2 linked regions of the Diceros bicornis minor genome follow. The protein of the gene in region 2 interacts with the protein of the main gene of each other region in a pairwise test. Links are inferred from orthologs where the notes say so. Each region holds a gene or a part of one and is shown on either strand. Other genes may lie near its edges.

Region 1 (9,584 bases), on a different chromosome or scaffold from region 2:
GACCTGGTCTCCAGGAGGCGGGCTCCCCTGGAAACGCTGTCTGGCACGTGGAGTCGCGAAGTGACCTCTGGGTTTTTGGCTTGCTTCCATCCTTAGAGTTCCAGGTTCTTACAGGCAGGAAATCAGCCTGAGTTGCATTTTCCGACTTTGCCTACTTTGCTGAATAGCGAGAAGGTGATGACGTGCAGAATGCCCCACGGGTCCCAGGGTTAGGCTGACGGGATTCCAGCGAAGTGCTAATTAAACGGGGCCGTAATTATCTAACTGAATGGGCCATTCCCCACCAGGCTAGAAGGAACGGGGTGAGGCCATGTCCTCATTCTCAATCCGGCACAGCTCCCGGGAGGACACGGAGGGTGTCCAGGTTCAAAGCTAGTCCACCCTGAACGCCGGGGCTCCCCGACAAGGTTCCTCCGTGGAGGCGGGCAGGGCCCCTGTGGGGGTGACGGTGGACAGTCCTGTCCTGTCTTGTTACCCCATGGAAGCCAGCAGATCTTGGGCCAAGCTTGCTTCAATTTCTCCATCTCTAATGTAACCGTCTTGTTCCACAGACATGAAGGTTTGTAGGTACCGAGGTTTTGGAATCAGAAAAAACAAAATCTGCCTTCTTGGGCCAGGATTTCTGACGCCCAGGAGAGCAGGGCCGGCCTTCCCACCCCAGTTCACCCAGCCCAGAGGCAGACGATACCAGGATCCAAGTTCAGCCCGGGGGACACTGCAGTTTTTTTTTGTTTCCTGCACCGAACCTAAGTGTTTGTGCAGAGACGGCTCCATGGGGTGGATGCTGAGCTGCCTGGGGGCTGGGCAACGGGCTCCCCCATGCAGGCATACACACGGGGCAGTGAATGCTCATGAGAGACCAGGGCAGGCGTGGGCCACGGACGCACAGCAGCTGCCACCCCTGGGGGCTCCTTGGTGGCTTAATGCTCGAATGGTGGATGGAGAAGACCCCAGGAGCTCAGGGCAGAAGAGGACTTCAGAAAGGAGAGGCCTGTCAGCAAACAAGCCTCCCCACAGAGAAGCTCCGAGACCCCAGGGTCCTGGCTTCTGTTTGTCCCTTCTTCCATCCACGGGCGGCCTGGGGGACAGACCAGGCTGCAGACGGGCAGCCAGGGCCCCGGTTTCAATCCTGCCGCTTCCCAGCTGGAGATCACCCTGACCCCTTGGGCCGCCAACCCCACGAGGCCGCTTGGTTCAGACAGACCACCACACAGGGTCTCTGTGCCCCGATTTTATTGTTTTGCAGCGGAATGCCCAACACAGAACGTAATCGGAAATACTCGGCTGTGCAAAAGATAGTGCTTAAGTACAAATGGGAAACATGATTCCTTTTTAAATAAATACTTAAACACAGGCGGGCCCTACCTGGACTCTATGGCCGTGTCTCCGAGCTGCCTGGCCGTGGACCCACGAAGACGGCATGATTCCCCTCCCCCCCGCAATCGAGACATGGAATCCGGGCGCCAGTGGTCACGATCACAAGGACCCTGTCTAGAGCCTTCCCCGGCCCCTATGCGGGATCGGGCCGGGACAAGGATAGTGGAATTTCTCGAAGATCAATGGTCCGTAACAGTTAGGAATTCTGAGGTGCGGTTGGTCCCGGGTCCGGCGCGGCGAGGCCTAGATGACCTTCTTCAGCTCGTCGTACAGGACCAGCACGAAGGCGCCCCCCATGCCCCTGAGCACGTTGGACCAGGCGCCCTTGAAGAAAGCCTTGCCGCCCTCGTCCTTGAAGATCTTGCGCCAGCAGTCGACGGTCCCCTTGTACATGATGTCAGCTGCAGGGAGAGGGGTGTGGGTCAGCGGGAGGTTCCTCAGGAAACGGGCACGAGGCGAACCACGAAAGACACGGTAGGGAGACTAATCCTCGGATGCCACCATCCGGGCAACTTGGAGTCAGAACCGCGGGAAAGGAGGCTCTGGATGCCCAGTGCCCCTGCTCACAGCCCCACTGGGCCTACTGCTGGGGGGTGGGGATGAAACACACAGAACTCCTCCACAGAACCCCACCTCCAACTCCTGGTCCACTCAGGGCCCGTGGACGCCCCAGAGACAGTTAAGGGAGGCAGACCCAGGACACGGGCATGAACAAGTCTGCAGGCAAGGCCAGAAAAGAGGCTGTTGGAACCGGATCCAGTGTTGCCTGGACATGGGTCACTGCCATCGACCAGAGCCTCCTGTTAAGCCAGGCCACCTTGGGAAACTCCTTATCCGATGGCCCCAGAATCCCACAGGCTGAGGCCACGAGGCCCTACGAGAACGTCTCTGACCTCCCGCTGCCCAGCCCCCTCCCAGCCCCGAGAGAAGATACCTCCTTTGCGCCCCGATTGCATCATCATCCGTCGCCGCACGGTGTCGAAGGGGTAGGAGACCACGCCCGCCACAGCCGTCACCATCTGGGCGATCATCCAGCTCACCACGATGTGGGTATTCTTGGGGTCGGGGAGCATGCCTGCAGGGTCACCACCAGCATTAGGCCCCACAGCTGCACTCTGCCGCCCCCTGGCTCCACACGGAGCTCCCGGGACCAGGCGACATTGGAGAGGTCACAGTGGGGTCAGCTACAGGGGGAAGCCGCCTGCAAGCTCCAGTGGGACTGGCCCAGGGGCCAGCAGAGCACCTGGGAGTGGCCTCTCCAGAGCAGCGGATGCACGAGGCTCGGACAGTGGACATGCCACACCTGAGGCCGTTCTGCTGTAGAGGTGCCAGCAGGCCTGGGCCCTCACTGACGGGGGGGCTTACTTTCACAGGTGAACTGTGCCCCCTCAAAAAATCACAGTGAATTGCCAACCCCCAAGATCTCAGAACAGAACTGTATCTGAATACCGGATTTTCTACAGAAATAATCAGGATAAAATGAAATGATATAGCACAACCTTATTTCAATAAGACTCACATCCTTACAAGAAGGCAAAATTAAGACATATAGACATCAACAATGTACATGCACAGGGGGACGACCACGTGAAAACACAGAAAGAAAACGGGTGTCTACGTGCCAAGGAGAGAGGCCTCAGGAGAAACCAGCCCTGCCCACGTCTGGGTCTCAGACTCCAGCCTCCAGAACGGGGAAAACATGAGTGTCAGCTGCTGAAGCCCCCCCGGCCAGCGGCGCCGTGTCAGCAGCCCGGGAGAACCCACTTACCCTTGGCCGTGTCGTACACGCCAAAGTAGGCGGCCCGGTAGATGATGATGCCCTGCACGGAGACGTTGAAGCCCTGGTACAGGCCCCGGACGCCGTCAGACTTGGTGATCTTCACCAGACAGTCCCCCAGGCCTTTGAACTCCCGCTCCGTGGCCGACTTCCCCACGTCGGCCGCCAGGCGGGTCCGGGCGAAATCCAGGGGGTAGACGAAGCAGAGAGAGGTGGCTCCGGCCGCCCCCCCAGAGGCCAGGTTGCCGGCGAAATACCTCCAGAACTGAGTGTGCTTGTCCACGCCGCCCAGGAAGATCTGCTTGTACTTGTCCTTGAAGGCGAAGTTGAGGGCTTGCGTGGGGAAGTAGCGGATGACGTTGGCCAGGTTGCCCCTCCAGAAGGACAGGATGCCCTGCTCCCGGGGGATGCGCACGATGCAGTCCACGATGCCCTTGTACTGCTTGTCAGCCGCGATCTGCTTACTGGCGTGCTGCACCTGAGGGGCGATGGGGGCGGGTCACACGGGGGCCTTTCTCTAACACCCACCACGACCCCCACTGAAGATGTCCGCTCCAAAGACTAGCTCGTGCATGCGGACTTCGAATTGCCCAGAGACCTCACATCTGGAAACACCAGTTCTTTTAACTCGGTAACTGTTTGTCGCTGCAACAGTGTTGCCAACAGACATGGCAACATCGTTGCTATCAGCGCAAACCATTTTCTAAGGTAACAATGTTGCCACCAGAACGATCCATTTGTAAGGCAACAATGTTGCCATCAGAGCCATACATTTCTAAGGCAACAATGTTGCCACCAGAAACGATCCATTTCTAAGGCAACAATGTTGCCACCAGAACGATCCATTTGTAAGGCAACAATGTTGCCATCAGAGCGATCCATTTTGTAAGGCAACAATGATGCCATCAGAGCGATCCATCTTGTTGCCATCAGACCAATCCATTTTCTAAGGCAACAATGTTGCCATCAGAGCCATACATTTCTAAGGCAACAAATGCTGCCACCAGAACGATACATTTCCAGCAGCTTGCAACATTTGTAACAACACACAATGATAGTTTATTCTGGTTCAGAACACGGAGTATAAAAGGGGGAGCAAGAACCGACGTCCAACGCCAAAGGGCGTTAGCAGGAACCCCGTGGCGCGCCCAAGGCACCGCCCCCCCCACACCAAAGAGTCTGTCCACGCGGCCAGCAGGCGCGCATGCGCCCTTCGGCCAGCGCCGCAGCATCCCGGCACGCCAGACTCCAAGCGCACGCGCAGGCGTCCACGACGCGGAGAGCGCGTGCGCGCCCGCGGCTCCACCCCCGCCCATGCGGCAGCGCCCACGTGACGCGCGCCCGGCCCGCCCCCGGAAGCCGGAGGCGCGCGGACAAAGCGGCGCGGCGCCCCACTTCCGGTGCCCGGCCGCCCGCCGGAGCGGTGCCCGTGGCCGGCCCGGCCGGCTTCCGCCGCGCCCAGGCCCTGGCCCCCGCGTCCGCAGGCCGCCCGCACCTGCAGCAGCAGCTTGACCCGCTCGATCGGGGCCACCGCCGTCTTGGAGATGGCGGCGGCGATGCCTCCGGCCAGGAAGTCCTTGGCGAAGGAGAGGGCCTGTTCCGTCATGGTGGCGGGGCGCGCGGCGCAGCGGGCGGAGAGCGGACGGGGACGCGGAGAGCCGTGGGTAGCCGCCGCTGGCTCAGCCCTGCCGCCGCCGGGACCGAAAGGACGGGGCGGCCAGCGCGCAGCCGCTAAGGTGCCGACGCCCCGCCCCCGCCCCCGCCCGCCGCGCCCATTGGCTGCGCCGCGCGCCGACGCCCCTCCCCTTCCCGGATCCCGCGCCCCCGCAGGCTGCCGGGAGCCGCGCCGCGCCCCGCCCCGCACACCCGCGCGCCGTGCCCATTGGCTGTGGCGCCGACTACGCCCCGCCTCTTCCGCGCTCCGCGCCGCGAGGCATGTCGGGAGCCGGGCCCCGCCCATGCGCCCTGTGGGTCGGGGGCTTGGCGGACGCCGTGACCTTGTCAAGGTCAAGCCGGGCCCGCGCGAGGGCGACAGACGGCGGCGGTGGGTAGGGGAGGCCGGCGGACCACCGGGCTCGCCTCGCAGACCCCCGGACCTCGGCCGTGACCCCCGGGCTGGCCCCGCGAACCCCCGAGCCCTGGCCGTGACTTCCGGTTTCGCCCCGCTGATCTCGGATCCCGGCCGTGACCCCCCGGGCTGGCCCCGCCGACCCCCGAGCCCTGGCCGTGACCTCTGGTTTCGCCCCGCTGACCCCCGGACCTCGGCCGTGACCCCCGGGCTGGCCCCGCCGACCCCCGAGCCCTGGCCGTGACCTCCGGTTTCGCCCCGCTGAGCCCGGATCCCGGCCGTGACCCCCCGGGCTTGCTCCGCGGACCCCCGAGCCGTGGTCGTGACCTCCGCGTTCGCCCCGCTGACCCCCGGACCCCGGCCGTGACCCGCAGGGCCAGAGCAGGGGGCCGAGCCCCCCTCCCCCGGACCCTCGACCCCCAGGGCGCTCCTACCCCCTACACTCGCTCCCCCCGAGACGTGCCCCCGCGGCCCGGCTCTCCAGGCCGTGCTCGCCCCCTGCCCGGGAGACCCCGGCCCCTCTTCCTATCCGTCCGCGGGGCCTGCGCGAGCCCCCCGGGACCACCCCAGCTCCCGCGGGGGCCCCGGAACCCTGACCCCATGGCGGGACTCCGGGTGGCGCTCCGGGCGCTGCGACGTGGGGGCTCCGGGAGGGGCAGGAGGGCGTGTGCTGCCCGGCACATGCTCACACTCACACGCATGCACTCACGCTTATGCTCGTGCATACACGCCACGCGTGCGCACGCTCACTCCCGCGCACATGCACACTTCATGCACACGTATACACACCCTCACACGTGCACACAAGTTCATGCACGCGTGTACACACATGCATTTGCACACATGCTCGTGCACACACAGACATGCACAGGGACGCTCCCGAGGCCGAGGTGTTTTGAAATGTTGCAGACTTTTTAGTGAATTGTAACTAAGTGATACAGGTCGTAACCGTCGCGAACTGAACACGGTGTAAGGAGCACCAAATAGCTCTTCAGTAGCAACCGGGGAGCCAGAATCCCGTTTCTTTTCTCCCGCTGTTTGTCTCTGTCTTCTTCCCTCCCTTTCTCATTTTTCTCCCTGCCCCCTTTGCTTCTTTTTGGTCTCCTGCGTCCCCACCAGCAGGTAAAACCCCCCTGGCAATGGGTTCACGGGTGGGTGGAGGCCTGGGAAGCACCCAGAAGAGCCTTGGGCACTGGGAGCCGGTGATTTCCCCAGTCTCCCGTGTCCTTGACCATGGCTTCCTGAGTCCGGTCTTGACCTCCAGGGAGAAGCAGGGGACGGGCAGTGCCTGGGGCTGCCCAGGTGCAGAGGGTGGTCTAGCTGTGGGGGAGGGAGGAGTGTCAGCGTCTTGGCCCTGGGGGCATTGCTGTTGGAAGGGCCTTGGAGGTTCTGGCATGTTCTTGAGGCTTCACCGGGACAGAGGGGCAGAGAAAGTCCCTGGAGGTCCACGCCCGCAGCCCCCATGGGGCTCTGGAGTGGAGGACAGAGGGCGGCCGTGGGGTGTGGGGGGACGAGATGTCTGCTCAGGGGTCCGTGTCTCAGAGGAGAAAAGCATCTCCTCTTGTTCATTTGTTGCCGGGATCAGCTCGCTGGGCCGGGAGGGACCCCAGTGATGGGGAGGGACCCTGGCGAGGCTTGTCACGGGGCTAGCGGGGGCCAGCCAGCTGAAGCTGCTCCTTCAGGATCCAGCTGGTTGGCATCTGCTCAGGCCGGGGCTGCGGGTGAGGCCCTGGAACCAGTGTTTCTGTCTCAGAGCCTGTGTCATGGGACACTGGAACATTCCTCCCGTGCTGGGGGGGCCGTTAACTCAGTGACCCGCTCCCCTGCCCCAGGCGTGGGGACGTCCCCTCCCCGAGCTCCGCCTGCATTCCTGGCTGCCACCCCACCGCTCAGCCCAGTATGATGTGTGTTGGTTCCTCTGAGCGCCCGGGGGTCCCTGGCCGCCTGTGCCTGGCCTCAGGACGGTGCTGGGGGAATGCTTCTCGAATGAACAAGTGAATGAGTGAATGAATGAACGTGGTCTCTTCCTGTTATCGCTGACTGGGGCTCAGAATGTGTTCTGTAGAAAGTGTTGCCCGTGGGCAACTCGTGCGCGCGCGAGTCATGGCTCCCCTGCCCCACTAGGGCTGATTTGGGAGGGTGGCGGGGCTGTGCACGCCGGAATCCGAGATCTCCGTATACCTGGGAGGGGAGAGCCCAGGTAGACTGTGCACCTGGGCCTGGAAAGGGAGAGGTGGGGTGAGTGGGAAGCGGAGGTGGGGAGCGTCTCCTCCAAGGGTTTAAGTTCCAAGACCCAGCAGCGAGGAGACAAGACCCAGCCCTCGGTGGCGCTCGGACGGAGTGAGAGATGAGCTGTGGCTGGGCCAGCAGGTGATCTGATTGAATCTGCACCCCAGAGCATCTGAGAAGGGGGTGGGTGATTGAAAGAAACGGGGGAGGTGATTCAGGGTTTCAGCTGACCCCTGGGGGTGAGTCATCGAGGTGAGGAGGGATTTGGGGGGTACGTGCTGTGAGCTGGGCCCGGGGAGTCTGTCCTAGTCGACAGGCAGTTCCTTCCAGTCCTGCGTTGTGTGACGTGGTCTAGTGGGGTGTCATGAGGCTGCACCGGGAGGGCGAAAGATGAGGACCCACGGGGACAGGGGAGGGGCCGGGGCGCTGTGGACACGGGTGTGGTCCTGACGGTCTCTTGTCCTAGCTCCTTCCCCCATCCCCGACCCCTGATGTTGCAGCCAGTAATGCATTTAGACTGTACCGTATGCAGTGTGTGCTGAAATATTTTTGGAATGAATGAATTCTGCCTGGAGGGCGGGGGTCCGGTCAGGCTGCCCAGCCCAGAATTCCAAGCTTGAAATCTTGTCTCCTAAAGAATAAACACCTGTATGGGGGCCCACACACACACTCACTTTCTCTCCCACCATCTCCTGAAAGCACTGTTTTTGGGTGTTAGTTCTAATAAATGCAAACACGGGTCGTGGAGGACTCATATTTTCTCACTTCTTTGCAAGTCCAGCAGAGACAGGGGGAGTGGGCGGTCTGGGGACCCCACGGACCCTCCGTCGGCTTTCACGTGTCATCAGGCCCTCACTGTCAGGCCCGGGGGTCTCCCTCGGGTGGGTGGGTCCTTGGTTCAAGGGCACAGTCATGGGTGTGGGACTTCAGGGTCGGCCACTCCTGGGGTCCGGGGGTCGGGGCTGACTGCACAGCCACGCTGCCCCCAGCCCGTCCGGCTCCCTGCATCCAGGGCTGGGGGGGCTCGGGTGCCCCGGGCAGGGGAGCTGGCACCTCTGGTTAGAGGCACAAACCGGGTGACCTTGAGACGGACGCTTGGTTGCTTCTGAGAAACCCAGTGACCTTGAGACAGCTCCGGGCACCCCGAGGGCTGCAGAGCAGGTGTGCGATGTGCCCTGGACCTGAGTCGCTGTTCCCACTGGGGACGCCCCGGGTTTCTGCTCAGCCTGGCTGAACACGGGGACCACAGGGGCACCTGAAGGACTCAGCCTGTTCCCCCGGGAAAGGAAGGAGGCTGACTGCGGTGGCCAAGGTGCCCGGGTCATTGTCACCCAGCACAGCAGCCGTGCACCAGCCCGGGGAGGCGGGGCGGGGCCGGTGAGGCGCTCGGCTCTCCTGGCCACTCGCTCTGCAGGTCCACCTGGGAGACAAGGACAGAGGGGCCGTGAGCGTCTCTGCTTTGCTCTCACACGGGTGAGCTGCAGGCACCACACCGGACAGCTCAGCCCCTGCGTGATCCATGCTGCACGTCCTGCCTCCCGGGGAGACACATTTGTGCTTTTTAAAAAAAATTTGAAGTCCATCCAAAATTATATGTGTTATAGTATAATTATGTAGTTTGTAATAGTATAAAAATCATAATAGTACTTATAAAACTATATGTAAAATTATATGTAAATTATAATGTGTAATTTATAATACTATTTCTACAATTATAATAGTATGTAAATTACAAATATATATCCCTACACATTTATATATAAAACATAGGTCATTTATATGTTCTATTTATTTAAAATGTATTACACAGAGAAAATTTATATAAATGCCTGTGTATTTGTAAGTTAGCTACCTGTCTAAGAACCTATGGTGGTCTTAGCTGCCCCCATCTGACAGTCGGGTGTTTTTTCCTAATAATTTCCTTTGTACAGAATTTACTTTAGAAATCATAGTTCTGACAATAATGTTTTCTAATAATAATTGTGTTTGTAAATAACCTGTAAGTTGCTGCATACTTCCTATGACCTAATATACAGAGTTACCTGCACAAGCTTGCTCCTTTAACAAAGCAGGTAAGTTGCTGAATCGTGAGACAGACCTGCGTCTCCACTGGTACGCTGGGGACGTTTGCGG
Region 2 (11,344 bases):
GTTTGATTCTGCAAGAACCTAAAGCAAAATAAATCAGTAAGTGAAATTCATTCCATTACAAAGCTACTATGCCTTGTATTTATATTTCCTTTTTTTCCTCTAAATTCTACACTTTGGGCTTAAACAAGTCACTTCTTTTGGGGTCTCCTGTAACCACCCTGAAGTGCTGGGTAGTCAGTTTAGGGCTCTAGACATAACAGGGACTCAATAACAGTTAAATCATAGGATATGAATTATATGCTAATTGGTTATTTCAAAAGTTAGACTACCAAATAAACTCAAATTTTTGGTTTTGTTTTTACCCAATCGTCCCTAAGACTTTTCAGAGAATTAATCTTACCTTGACCACATGCTGAAGAGCAGGTCTCACTGCTGTCATTAAACTGTCTTGTGCTACCACCTCAAAGATGGATGGCTGGTCATCCGCCACAGAAGCAGTTGTGATGTGAGCCCCATGCTCAGCCATAGTTTCCTGTGTGCACTTGGTTTCACTTTGCCCACCAATTCTATAGTAAGCATGAACTTTCCTGGGGGTATTAAATGGGTTCTCAGTCTTAAAAGTAAGATTTCTGCAGGATACCCGGAATTCCTAACTCAATTTTCCGGAACTGGCGGGGGGAAAGACCTCTTCTGGAGGCAGAGGGGAGGGGTCTCAAATTTAGGAAGTTAAGAGCGAAGTTAACGCAGACGTGGGTGCAAGAGGTGTGGATGTGTGGGATGACTCGTCAAATGCTGCACCTCACAGTGCAGAGCGTGACTATGGGGGACAGGTTATGGGCAAAGGACGCCGTCCTCTCGAGCTGCAGTCCTGGAGGCTGCTGCGAATCAGCGACTCGCAATCGTGAGGGCTCAAAACGAAGCGGGCTCTGAGGCCGGAGGTGCCAGTGCGGGCCTGTACGCGAGGACTGGCTCCAGCTGCTGGCTGTCAAGTGCCCCCGCCCGCGCCCGTCCTTGGGCGCTGACTCCCGGAGAGGCGCGAAGGACCCACGACGCCACAGTTGACTGGATCGCTGTGTGACAGAAGCCGCACCGGGAAATACAAGCTGCCGGGGTTTAGCGACGGCAGGCGGAGAGGCGCTCTAGCCCCGAACGCGGCCCCGAAACCGGAACTAGAAAACTCTATGACCCTCCCAGGACTTCCGCTTCCGCCCCGCTGAAATTAAAGGCGGCACTTGGGTGCTCGTGTGGAGAGGGTGTGTCCGCTCGGTTGTTCTACTTTCATTGTTTTGCATCGCAGCCTGGGTGGAAAGCCACAGCTGTGAATCCGTCTCTGCGGAGGCTTTTTTGACAAGGTGTTTGGGGCACCGCGCCGACGTGTGGCACCTAGAGCAAGAGCTCGGGCCGGCGGCTGAGGCCTTCGTTTCCGGGGGCGAGCGAGTAAGGGGCGGAGGGACAAAAAGGAATAGGCAGATGCGAAGTCTCTCTCTGTAGGGGGGAGAGGGATTGATTTATGGTCAGCCACTTCCGGGAAGGCTTTGAAGCGACGTAGCTGGGGATGAAAGTCTTAGCATTATTGCCGCCAACTATAAAGAAAGATTAGAATGGGAAAGGTTCCCGCTGTTCCTCAAAACTTGAGATAATCACTTTTCATTCAAGCCGGTGGTTTAACTGTCTTCTAGGTTTCGTTACATTCAAGCATAACTAGGCACTTGTTACAGTAGATGTAAATGGTTCTTACCCTCGTACACGGTAGGATGTGTCACATTAGTGATATGAATACAGTGCTAAGACAAGGGATCCTAGTGAACTGGGGAGACTTGACAGAGAAGGTACTTTTCATTGTTTGCATACCAAAGTTCGTGTAGTTTATCTTACAGTTAGCAAAGTGCTTTTACATCGTTTGCAACTTTGCCGCGTTTGAGTTGCTGATACAGTTTTATTGAATTTGTATAAGCGTTCAAGTTCAACTTCTGTCTCTCTGCAACCCCTCCCCGACCCCTGAGCTCAACAGCTAGAAATAGAAGGTATTATTCACTGCCCTAGAGAACGTTATGGTATAAAGGCAGATAATTGGTTTGCATGAGAACCCTCGAAAAATACGATTTGGGTTTAGTTATTTCAATAGGACAGAAAATCTTGCAAGTTAACAATAATTATAGTTCTAAAAAGTGTTTTTTCCTCTACCAAAATACCTTCCGGAGAAAAATCACACTGAAATAAGATTTTTACTTTACAGAATTTTAAGGACTAGAGTTAATGTATCTACATAAAGCAGCTGGTACATACTAGGTGCCCAATCAATGGTAGCTATTATATACAGCTTTTTCTTAAGTGAACAGCAGAAAGACAAAGTTGAGAAATAGCATCAATCAGAACAAGTGGGGAGGGCCAGCCGGGTGGCGCAAGTGGTTAAGTGCGTGCGCTCTCCTGCGGTGGCCTGGGGTTCCCCAGTTCGGATCCCATCGCAAACCCACACACGGCCTGGCAAGCCATGCTGTGAGGGCATCCCATATAAAGTGGAGGAAGAGGTGCACCCATGTTAGCCCAGGGCCAGTCTTCCTCAGCAAGAAAAGGAGGAGAGTTGGCAGATGTTAGCACAGGGCTGATCTTTCTCACACAAATAAATAAATAAAATGAAAGAAGTAGGGAATTAAACATTTGTATCAATTAGGGTTCTTTGGTTACAAGCAACAGAAACAGGCTAATTTAAAGTAAAAAATTTATTAGAAGTATATGGAGTAGCTAACAAAAGGAAAGCCAGCTCTGAAAGAACAGGAACGTCTCTAGCAAGCATTGGCAAACTCTCATCCAGGCAACATACAATGAATGAGCTGCAACAAATTTCTGTCTGTCACTGTACTTATGATTCAAATTCCTATTGACCTACCTTGGTTCAGATTTCCTCTCCACTGTTTCACTTAGCCAGAAGAGAAGGCAAGACACCTTGATTAATAGTCCTTTGAGAATGCTCCAAAAGTAAACTGAAGTTATTACATGAGAAAAAGGAAAGGCAGTCAAAAATAACATGTCAATTATTACAGCCAACAAATAATAAACACCTCATTACAAATCCCACCTTCAGGCTTATAGTGTAATAGATGAAATAAGACACATAAAAAATGATAGCACTTATTTATGTTAAAAGGGTTAAGAGCCATCAGATAGGTTAATATGATATGAATTTAGAGGAAGAGAGAACAACCAGCTGGGAGAAATAAGGCCATTCAGACTAGCTTAAACAGAATCATTTTAGCTTAGGTAACCAAACAAAAGGAAGAACGTTTCTTTTTTTTTTTTTTTTGTGAGGAAGATCAGCCCTGAGCTGACATCCATGCCAATCCTCTTTTTGCTGAGGAAGACCGGCCCTGAGCTAACATCTATTGCCAATCTTCCTCTCTTTTTTTTCCCCCCCCTTTTCTCCCCAAAGCCTCAGTAGATAGTTGTATGTCACAGTTGCACATCCCCCTAGTTGCCGTACGTGGGATGCAGCCTCAGCATGGCCAGACAAGCGGTGCGTCGGTGCACACCCGGGATCCGAACCTAGGCCGCCAGTAGCGGAGCGCATGCACTTAACCGCTAAGCCACAGGGCTGGCCCCAGAAATAATGTTTCTAACCTCTTATTTTATCTCAGCTTCTGTCTGCCAGTTGCTTTCTAATACAGTGATGTAACCTGGTACTTCCTGTACCTCATATAACAGATGGCCACTGAGAAAGTTTTGTGCATTAGGTGGACCTCAAAAGATGAGTACATTTGGGGCAAGTCACAGTAATGGTGATAGAGCTTTCCAAGCTAAGGGAGCAGGATGGAGTATATATAAGGAGGAAATTGTTTAGTTTGCTTTAACCATAGAGCCACAGAAAGGAATAGTAGAGAACATGTTGAAAAGTAGATTTAGGTGAATTACAGAGGGTCCTAAATGCTAATTTTAGTACTTTGTGGACATTCATTAATTTATTCAATAAATATGGAGTACCTCCTATGTGCCAGGCATTATGTTACGTGCTGGGTATAAAATAGTAATAAAAAGAGATGCGGTATCTGCCCTCATGGAATTTACGTTCTAGTTGGGGAGGGAAATAACAAGTAAGTAAACTAATAAATACATAATTTACAAATTGAATAAGAGGGCTGGGATGGGGGTGGCAGAGGGAGCTGGAAGAACAGAACCTTAGGTAATCAGGGAGTGCCTTTCTGAAGAGATTACACTGAAACTGAGACCTAAATTATGGGGAGCTAGCCATGTGAGGCGCTGGGGGAAAAGCATATTAGGCAGGAGGAGCAGTATTTGTGAAGGCCTTGAGATGGGACAGAGCGTGGCATTATTTGAGGGCTACAATAGCTAGCAAAAGGTGAAATGAGGAGGAAATGAGGTGTGACTGAAAGGCATAAAATGATGTTAGAGAGGAAGACGGGGGCCAAACTCATAGGGACTCATAGGCTGTGGGATGGAGACTTTATTTTAGTCCAAGTGCGATGGGAAGCCATGAAAGGATTTATACACCAGAGTCATGATTAGGTTTGTACTCTGAAGATGACCCTGTAATGGATATATAGTTATGTTTATTTTGTGAAAATTCATCAAGCTTTATATTTATGATGTGTGCCCTTTTTTTTTTGAATGTTATACTTCAAAAAAAGTTAAAAACCCAGCTTCACTATGGATAAAGGTTGGGAGGAGAGTTGAGGTTTCTAGTAGTTCAGGCAAGAGGTGATGGTGGCTTGGACTAATGAGGTGGAATAAAGGGGATTGGATGAATTTGAGATATTTTGAAGGTTGGGTTGACAACTTGGAGATGGATTGGATGTGGCATTAAGGGAGAGAGGGAAATCAAGAATATCCATCAGGTTTCTGGCTTGAGCAATTCAGTATAATTTATTGAAACAATCATAGAAAATATTTACATAGTCCATACTATGTGCAGGCATAGTTCTAAGTGCATTACATAGACTAATTAATTTCATCCTTGTAATAATATTATGATTGAATATTACTATTTTTCCCATTCTATAGATGACAAAACTAAAGAAAAGAGTACAGAGATGGGGAAAACAGGGGGAAGAATAGGATTTGGATATATTAGGCAACAAGGAGCAGTTGAAAGTTTTTGAACAGGAGAGAAGTATGAATCGAAGTTCTTTAAGATTTTTCTGGTGGCATCTTTACGAAGTCCACCTCTATCTGCTGGGAGTTGTACCTGAAAGCCAGTCTTTCAAACATCCCCCCCATCCCCTTATGAGATGCTTAATGTGAGTGGGACATAAATATAGAATTACCCATCAGTGTGGTTAGCAATTTGGTGGTGAAGTTTGGGGAATAGGTTAAGGCTAGCAATAGAGATTTCAGTCATATGGGTAGATAAGATAATTGAACCCATGGTATTTCTAAAGGAATAATGTAAAGACAATGTATGAGTATCAAACTTAAAAAAAAAAATCCTTGCTACTGTCTTCCTCAAATACCATCCTATATCTCTTCTGTTTTCAGCCATACTTTTTTACGGAGTTATCTGTAACTCCTGTTTTCATTTCCTCACCTCCTATTCATCCTTAAATTTCAGCGTGGCTTTTGCCTTCATATCTTTACCGATGTTCTCAGCATTGACATCAAAGACCTTTGTGTTGCTAAATCCTCGGACACTTTTCAGACCTTCTTTCTTCTCTCTGTAGCAACTGATACTGTTGACCACTCATTCATACGTTTATTCATTCAACAAATTGTGGGGAGGGGTGCTAGACCTCAGAGATAGAAGAGGGAACAGATTGGTATAGTTCCTACTTTCATGGAACTCTAAAAACATCGTAAAATATTATAACCGTCTGCTTTTCCTTCTACCTCTCTGACTGCTCCTTCTCAGTCCCCTTGGCATTTTGGTTTCCTCAGCTTCTGCCTCAGGCTCTCTCACTCCACTTTCTTTTTTTTCTTAATTAAATACTTGGTATTTTTCAGAGCAGTTTTAGGTTCACAGCAAAATTGAGAGGAAGGTAACAGATTTCTAGGTCTTGGTTTCTGAAATGAACCTACGTTTGTGTAAACACACCGATTACATGCTAGGCGCTTTACCTACTTTACTACTTTATCCCATTTAAGCTTCACAAGCTGGAGAGAGATATAGCATTGGCTTAATTTCACAGATAAGAAGACTAAAGTTGGAGGGACATTAAGTAACTTTCCCAGTCACATTCAGGGCAGGGATTGGAACTCGATCTAATGCCATCCTAACCTCTTTTCCTTGCACCACTCTCCTCTAGTCCCACTGCCAGTGTGTAGTCCTGGGCTGGATCAGCATTGCCCACACTACTTAAGTGGCCAGGGAAATGAGCTGTTTTTTTTAAAGAAAGGAACAGGATATTTCACCCTCTCTGAGTGTAAGTTTTTTAGAGAACTGTGCGAGGAAAAAAAATCCAGGGAACGTCAGCTTGTGTAATATATCCCTTCGGATAGCCACTGAACTTTCTCTGAGACCCGAGTCGCAGGTCTCTTTCCGACCAAGCAAAAAAAATCTTTCCGCCTGCAAGGCGACAGAGACCACCGCCGTTGTGTTCTCCCGCGCGCCGGGATGACGTCACGCGGCGAGGTTCTCTGACATCAGAGTTTCCTGTCCACCATCTTTGTCCCTGGCAAAGTGGCTTTTGCGCAGTGGCTTAGACCTGGAGGAGTCGTGACGTGCAGGAAACCATTACAACACCACTCGGGCCGTGCTCCCTGGCTGCTGCCGCCACCGCCCGGTCCTTGCCTCCGGTGAGTTTAAGGCGGCTAACTTTGGGGTGTGTCCTGCATTGATGGAGATGGGGGTAATCCCAGCTTGGGTTGGAGACGGGCGGAGGAAAGGAAGTCCTCGGAGCATAACCGTTGAGGATGGAGTGAGCCGTCGGGTGTGACCGTTGGGAGGGAGAGGGTTAGAGAAAGGGACTCTACTGCTCTGGCAGGGCGAGGGAATCCTCGGGTGTGGCAGCTGGAAATTGGAGGGCGCCGGGGGGGGAAAATGTGTTTCAAGTCGGGGTAGGCGGGCCAGAGGCCACGGGTGTGGCCGGTAGAAGCTGGAGGCCGATGGGAGAACCTTCCTTCTTTCCCACTTGGCGTCGTTCACTGAGGGGCTGGGACGTGTCCAGCTAATAAAAGGGAACAGGGATTCCCCCAAAGGTTTGCCCATTAATGAGCAAACCTCGCCCGTCTCCCGTGATTTGAGGTTAAGAGACACCTCTCCTCTACCTCGTAATGGAGGACCACATCCCCAGAATCTTGACCACCTGGGGAAAGAAGAGGCATTCCTGACACTTGGGGGAAGGGAAGAGAAACCTCCAGAATTGACCCGATGTAAGAGATGGGGAAGCAAGTGGGGGTAAATCTTAGCCCGGAATTTTTTCTTTCTGGGCTTAGCAGGAATGATCTGGTTTGAGAAAGGCTGTAGATTAAGCCAGAGGTAAAGAAACTGGAACTTCCTGTTATTTCCCTGTTCTTTGAATCCAAAGAATTTATTCATGCTGTTGGTTTTCAGAGCAGTGTTCTGTTTGGGGGGCAAGCTTTTACTGAACTCACTTGGCTGCTTCATTATGAAGCTATATGAATAAAGTGTGGATGCTTCATTAAACTTAGACTTCTAAAAAGAAGTTTTTTAAAAAATGCCAAACACTATCGTAATCATTGTGGTTTAAAAGAAAAAGTAAAGAAAACGCAATATGTTTAGAAAAGGCAGAATGACAAAAGAAGATGGTCTCAGTGAGGAAAATTTAAATTATTAATTACCTCCCTAGTATACTTCTATTGCTTAGCCTCAGGGTACATTTACAAAGTAATAATAGCAGCAGATGAAGGAGATGCAGCTGTACAAGAAAACGTGTAACACATTCCAATGATGACTAAGCGTGGTGGTAAGGTGAGAACTGTTTGCAGGTATCTTAAGTTAAACTCCCAAGAAAGCAGAAAGGATAATGTGTTCTGCAAACGGCCTCACTGAAAGTTAAGTGGTAAAATTAATATAAGACTAACATTCTGTGAACTAAGAGACTCAAGAAAGTCCATACTTCCATCTTTTCTTTTTTTCTTAAACAGAATATTACATTTTTCTTAAACAAAATACTCCATTTTAGGCATAGATTTGAACCAAGCTGAACAAGGAATGAGTTAGATAGGACATGTTCTCCTTTCTTCCTTCTTTCCTTCCTTTCAGGCTTAAGTTTTCCAGAGTTGATTGGTATTTTAGTTAAGAATTGGATCTAAAACTTGAGCTTCTTTCTTACTGTATAATATTAACAAATTGCTTTGTAGTCTGTCCTAGTTAAATGGAAATCACAGGTGTCCGTTGTACTTTCTTATGAGCTAAATGATACCTGAAGATGCTATTGTCTTTGCATTATTAAAATATTGGATTAGCATCTCTCCCCCTTGTAATAAAGGATTGGGGGAATGACCTTTCTGTTTTATAATTTGGTTAACTCTTTCGCTAGTTTTTCACTACGAGCACCAAACTCTGTAAAGCCCAACTTTATGTGAAAAGAAGGCATTTAGTGGCCTCACCAACTCTAATTTAGCCGCCATTTCCCAGAGAACCATTTGAAATTAAAACCCTATTAATTTTTTTCCAGCTTTATTTTGTTTAGTGGGACTGGAAGGAGGGAGGAATAGAAGGAGAGAAGGGACTTGCACAACCTATATTTAGTAGAAAGTAGGTTATGTTAAATCTAGATATATAATCCTGTGCAGGAGGCCTTCTCTGAAATGCAGTGGCATCACACTATGGTTTAGGACAAGTGAGAGTGATTGTTCGCTTTGACTGTGGCAGCTTTGTTGTTCAGCAGTGTCGCTAGGCCATACCACAAGTCCTCAGAACAGCCAGTGACTTGTCTAGTTTGATCTGGTAGAAAGGTAGTTTGAGTTCAAACTCCATGATAGCTTTGCTTTTTCCTGGGGTTCTCCTGGAGGCACAATCCCTCCGCCCCCCAGAAGAGCTTGATTTTTGCGACACTTCAGCAAATACTTGATTTTTTTCTTGAGCTCTATCTTGGCTTTTTCTTTGGCTTCTAATGCAGGCAACAGTTTTCACTGTCCTATATTTTGGAGACTCTGGCTGTGTCTATCTCTGGCATGTGATTAAGTATATCACATTTTAAAAATCTATACATATGTAATTTTTTGAGGTGAAATTCATATAACATAAAATTAACCATTTTATTTTATTTTATTTGTGAGGAAGATCAGCCCAGAGCTAACATCCATGCCAATCCTCTTTTTGCTGAGGAAGACTGGGCTAACATCTGTGCCTATCTTCCTCCACTTTAAATGGGACGCCGCGGGGCCCGGCCCAGTGGCTTAGCAGTTAAGTGCACGCTCTCCGTTGCTGGCGGCCCGGGTTCGGATCCCGGGCGCGCTTCGGATCCGGGGCGCGCACAGAGGCACCACTTGTCAGGCCATGCTGTGGCGGAGCCCCATTTACAGTGGAGGAAGATGGGCATAGATGTTAGCCCAGGGCCCGTCTTCCTCAGGAAAAAGAGGAGGATTGGCATGGATGTTAGCTCAGGGCTGATCTTCCTCACAAATAAACAAAACAAATGGGACTCCGCCACAGCGTGACCTGACAAGCGGTGCCTCCATGCGCGTCAGGGATCCGAACCCTGGCCGCCTGCAGCGGAGCGCACGCACTTTACCGCTACGCCACGTGGCCGGCACCCAAAATTACCCAGTTTAAAGTGAACAATTCAGTGGCATTTAGTATGTTCACAGTGTTGGGCAACCACCACCCCTCCACCACCTCTTCTCATTTTTTTTTGTTTAGACTGTTTTCATTTTTCTGGGAGTTTCTTTTGGCTTAAGGCAGGAACTGACTTGATACAATGTTTCTCTGCCAATATGGGTAAGGGATATTTCATTAGTATTGTTTACAGCAGTGTGAGTTGAGTGTAATGTTTCTCCCTTCTCTTTAAGAGCAGGGATTTTTAATTTAGGATCTAAGATTACTTGATTCTCTCCTCTTCCCTGAAATTTTGTGGGTGGGAACGTTACTCTCTTTAAATTAAGAACACTTAATGCTCACACTGAATAGGATGCAAATATATTCCTTGACAATGAAATTTTTTAGGGGAAGTAATAAAATGTGTGGGTCACTACTAAAGGTAGTGATAGGTTAATTTAATGTTTAACAGATTGTCTTGAAAACTCCTGTTAAGAATTTAATATGTGTGTATGTGTATGAGAGCTTTGGAAAAAAGAACAATTTTTATGCTCCTTTTCAAAGCAACTGGGTGAAAAATTCCATGCAGATTTTATTTTTTAATCTCAAGCAAGTTGTAAGTTTTGATGATCCCGTAGGACTTAGAATGGCATAATAACATTCTAGACAGACCATAATGGCCTTGAGCTCTGGCCCCACTGTCTGGCTCTAGTAACCGTTTCTGAGGACTGGTTTTTTGTTTGTATATCTAGGTTCTTAGATGATAACTTCATGTTTATTCCAGGTCTTTTTTTGTGAGATCAGCCCTATGCTAACATCTGCCAATCCTCCTCTTTTTTTGCTGGGGAACACTGGCCCTGGGCTAACATCCGTGCTCATCTTCCTCCACTTTATTATGGGATGCTGCCACAGCATGGCTTGCCAAGCAGTGCGTCGGTGCGCGCCTGGCATCCGAACCGGCGAACCCCGGGCTGCCGCAGTGGAGCGTGCGCACTTAACCGCTTGCGCCACCGGGCTGGCCCCTATTCCAGGTCTTTTATGTGAAGGGCTCCTTTCTTCGGTTTTCCCATTTCACATTTAGTTTACATTGTGAATGGATTAAATGATTATAACATTCTTTGAATTTTTGCTAGCGAGGGATTTTGCATAAAGCAAGCCTCTGTTGCAGGTTAATTTTTAGTTATAACAAATATTATCAAAACAGAAATTTCTGCATTCTCTAATGGTATTTGTGAGTTCTAGCTCCCATCTTTTAACAAGGTAGTTCAATGAAATTCTGGTACAACCTAAAGCACTATTGTATAAGGATCAGGACTGAAATAGTAAGTAGGTGCTTGGAAAGATAGGAAATGGGTCTAATTTCCCTTAGATTGTCCAAGTAGCACATTTTAGAGATCGGATTTGAGCCAAGCTTTTTTCATTATTTCATGTTTATCTGGCTGTTTTTCCTTTTCCTTAATTGCATTGATTTGTTGAGTGCTTAGGTCTTTTTTCTCAGATCCATAATTGCTGTTGTTTGCCAAATGTGTTACCACTCAAGTTTGGCAAATTATCACTGATGTGACGGTAATGAGCAGGTGCCAGGGTATCTGTCCTAAATTTGGTAGTAAGCATTGTTAATGATGGAGGTAAGGAAGAAGATACTCATTTTTGAGTACAGAAGGAATATTATTTAAAAAAAATTTTTAATATATTTAAAGAAGTCAAGTACACTGGACAAAGTCTTAGAGTTTCCCA

What was found.
Region 1: the proteins of AP2B1 (region 2) and SLC25A6 interact in binary tests that used the Homo sapiens proteins (3 or more experiments, as listed by UniProt). The link is inferred for Diceros bicornis minor from reciprocal best matches to the Homo sapiens genes AP2B1 and SLC25A6.

The regions. Positions count from the first base shown.
Region 1 is NC_080781.1:1,082,796-1,092,379, forward strand, and holds SLC25A6 (ADP/ATP translocase 3), read right to left. Parts: upstream 4,849-9,584; 5' UTR 4,761-4,848; coding exon 4,650-4,760; intron 3,633-4,649; coding exon 3,146-3,632; intron 2,453-3,145; coding exon 2,312-2,452; intron 1,779-2,311; coding exon 1,621-1,778; 3' UTR 1,315-1,620; downstream 1-1,314. UniProt on the Homo sapiens protein: ADP:ATP antiporter that mediates import of ADP into the mitochondrial matrix for ATP synthesis, and export of ATP out to fuel the cell.
Region 2 is NC_080757.1:24,119,223-24,130,566, forward strand, and holds the start of AP2B1 (AP-2 complex subunit beta), read left to right. Parts: upstream 1-6,590; 5' UTR 6,591-6,681; intron 6,682-7,095; exon of another isoform or gene 7,096-7,257; intron 7,258-11,344. Other genes in the region: PEX12 (peroxisome assembly protein 12), read right to left, coding at 1-18, 341-466. UniProt on the Homo sapiens protein: Component of the adaptor protein complex 2 (AP-2). Adaptor protein complexes function in protein transport via transport vesicles in different membrane traffic pathways.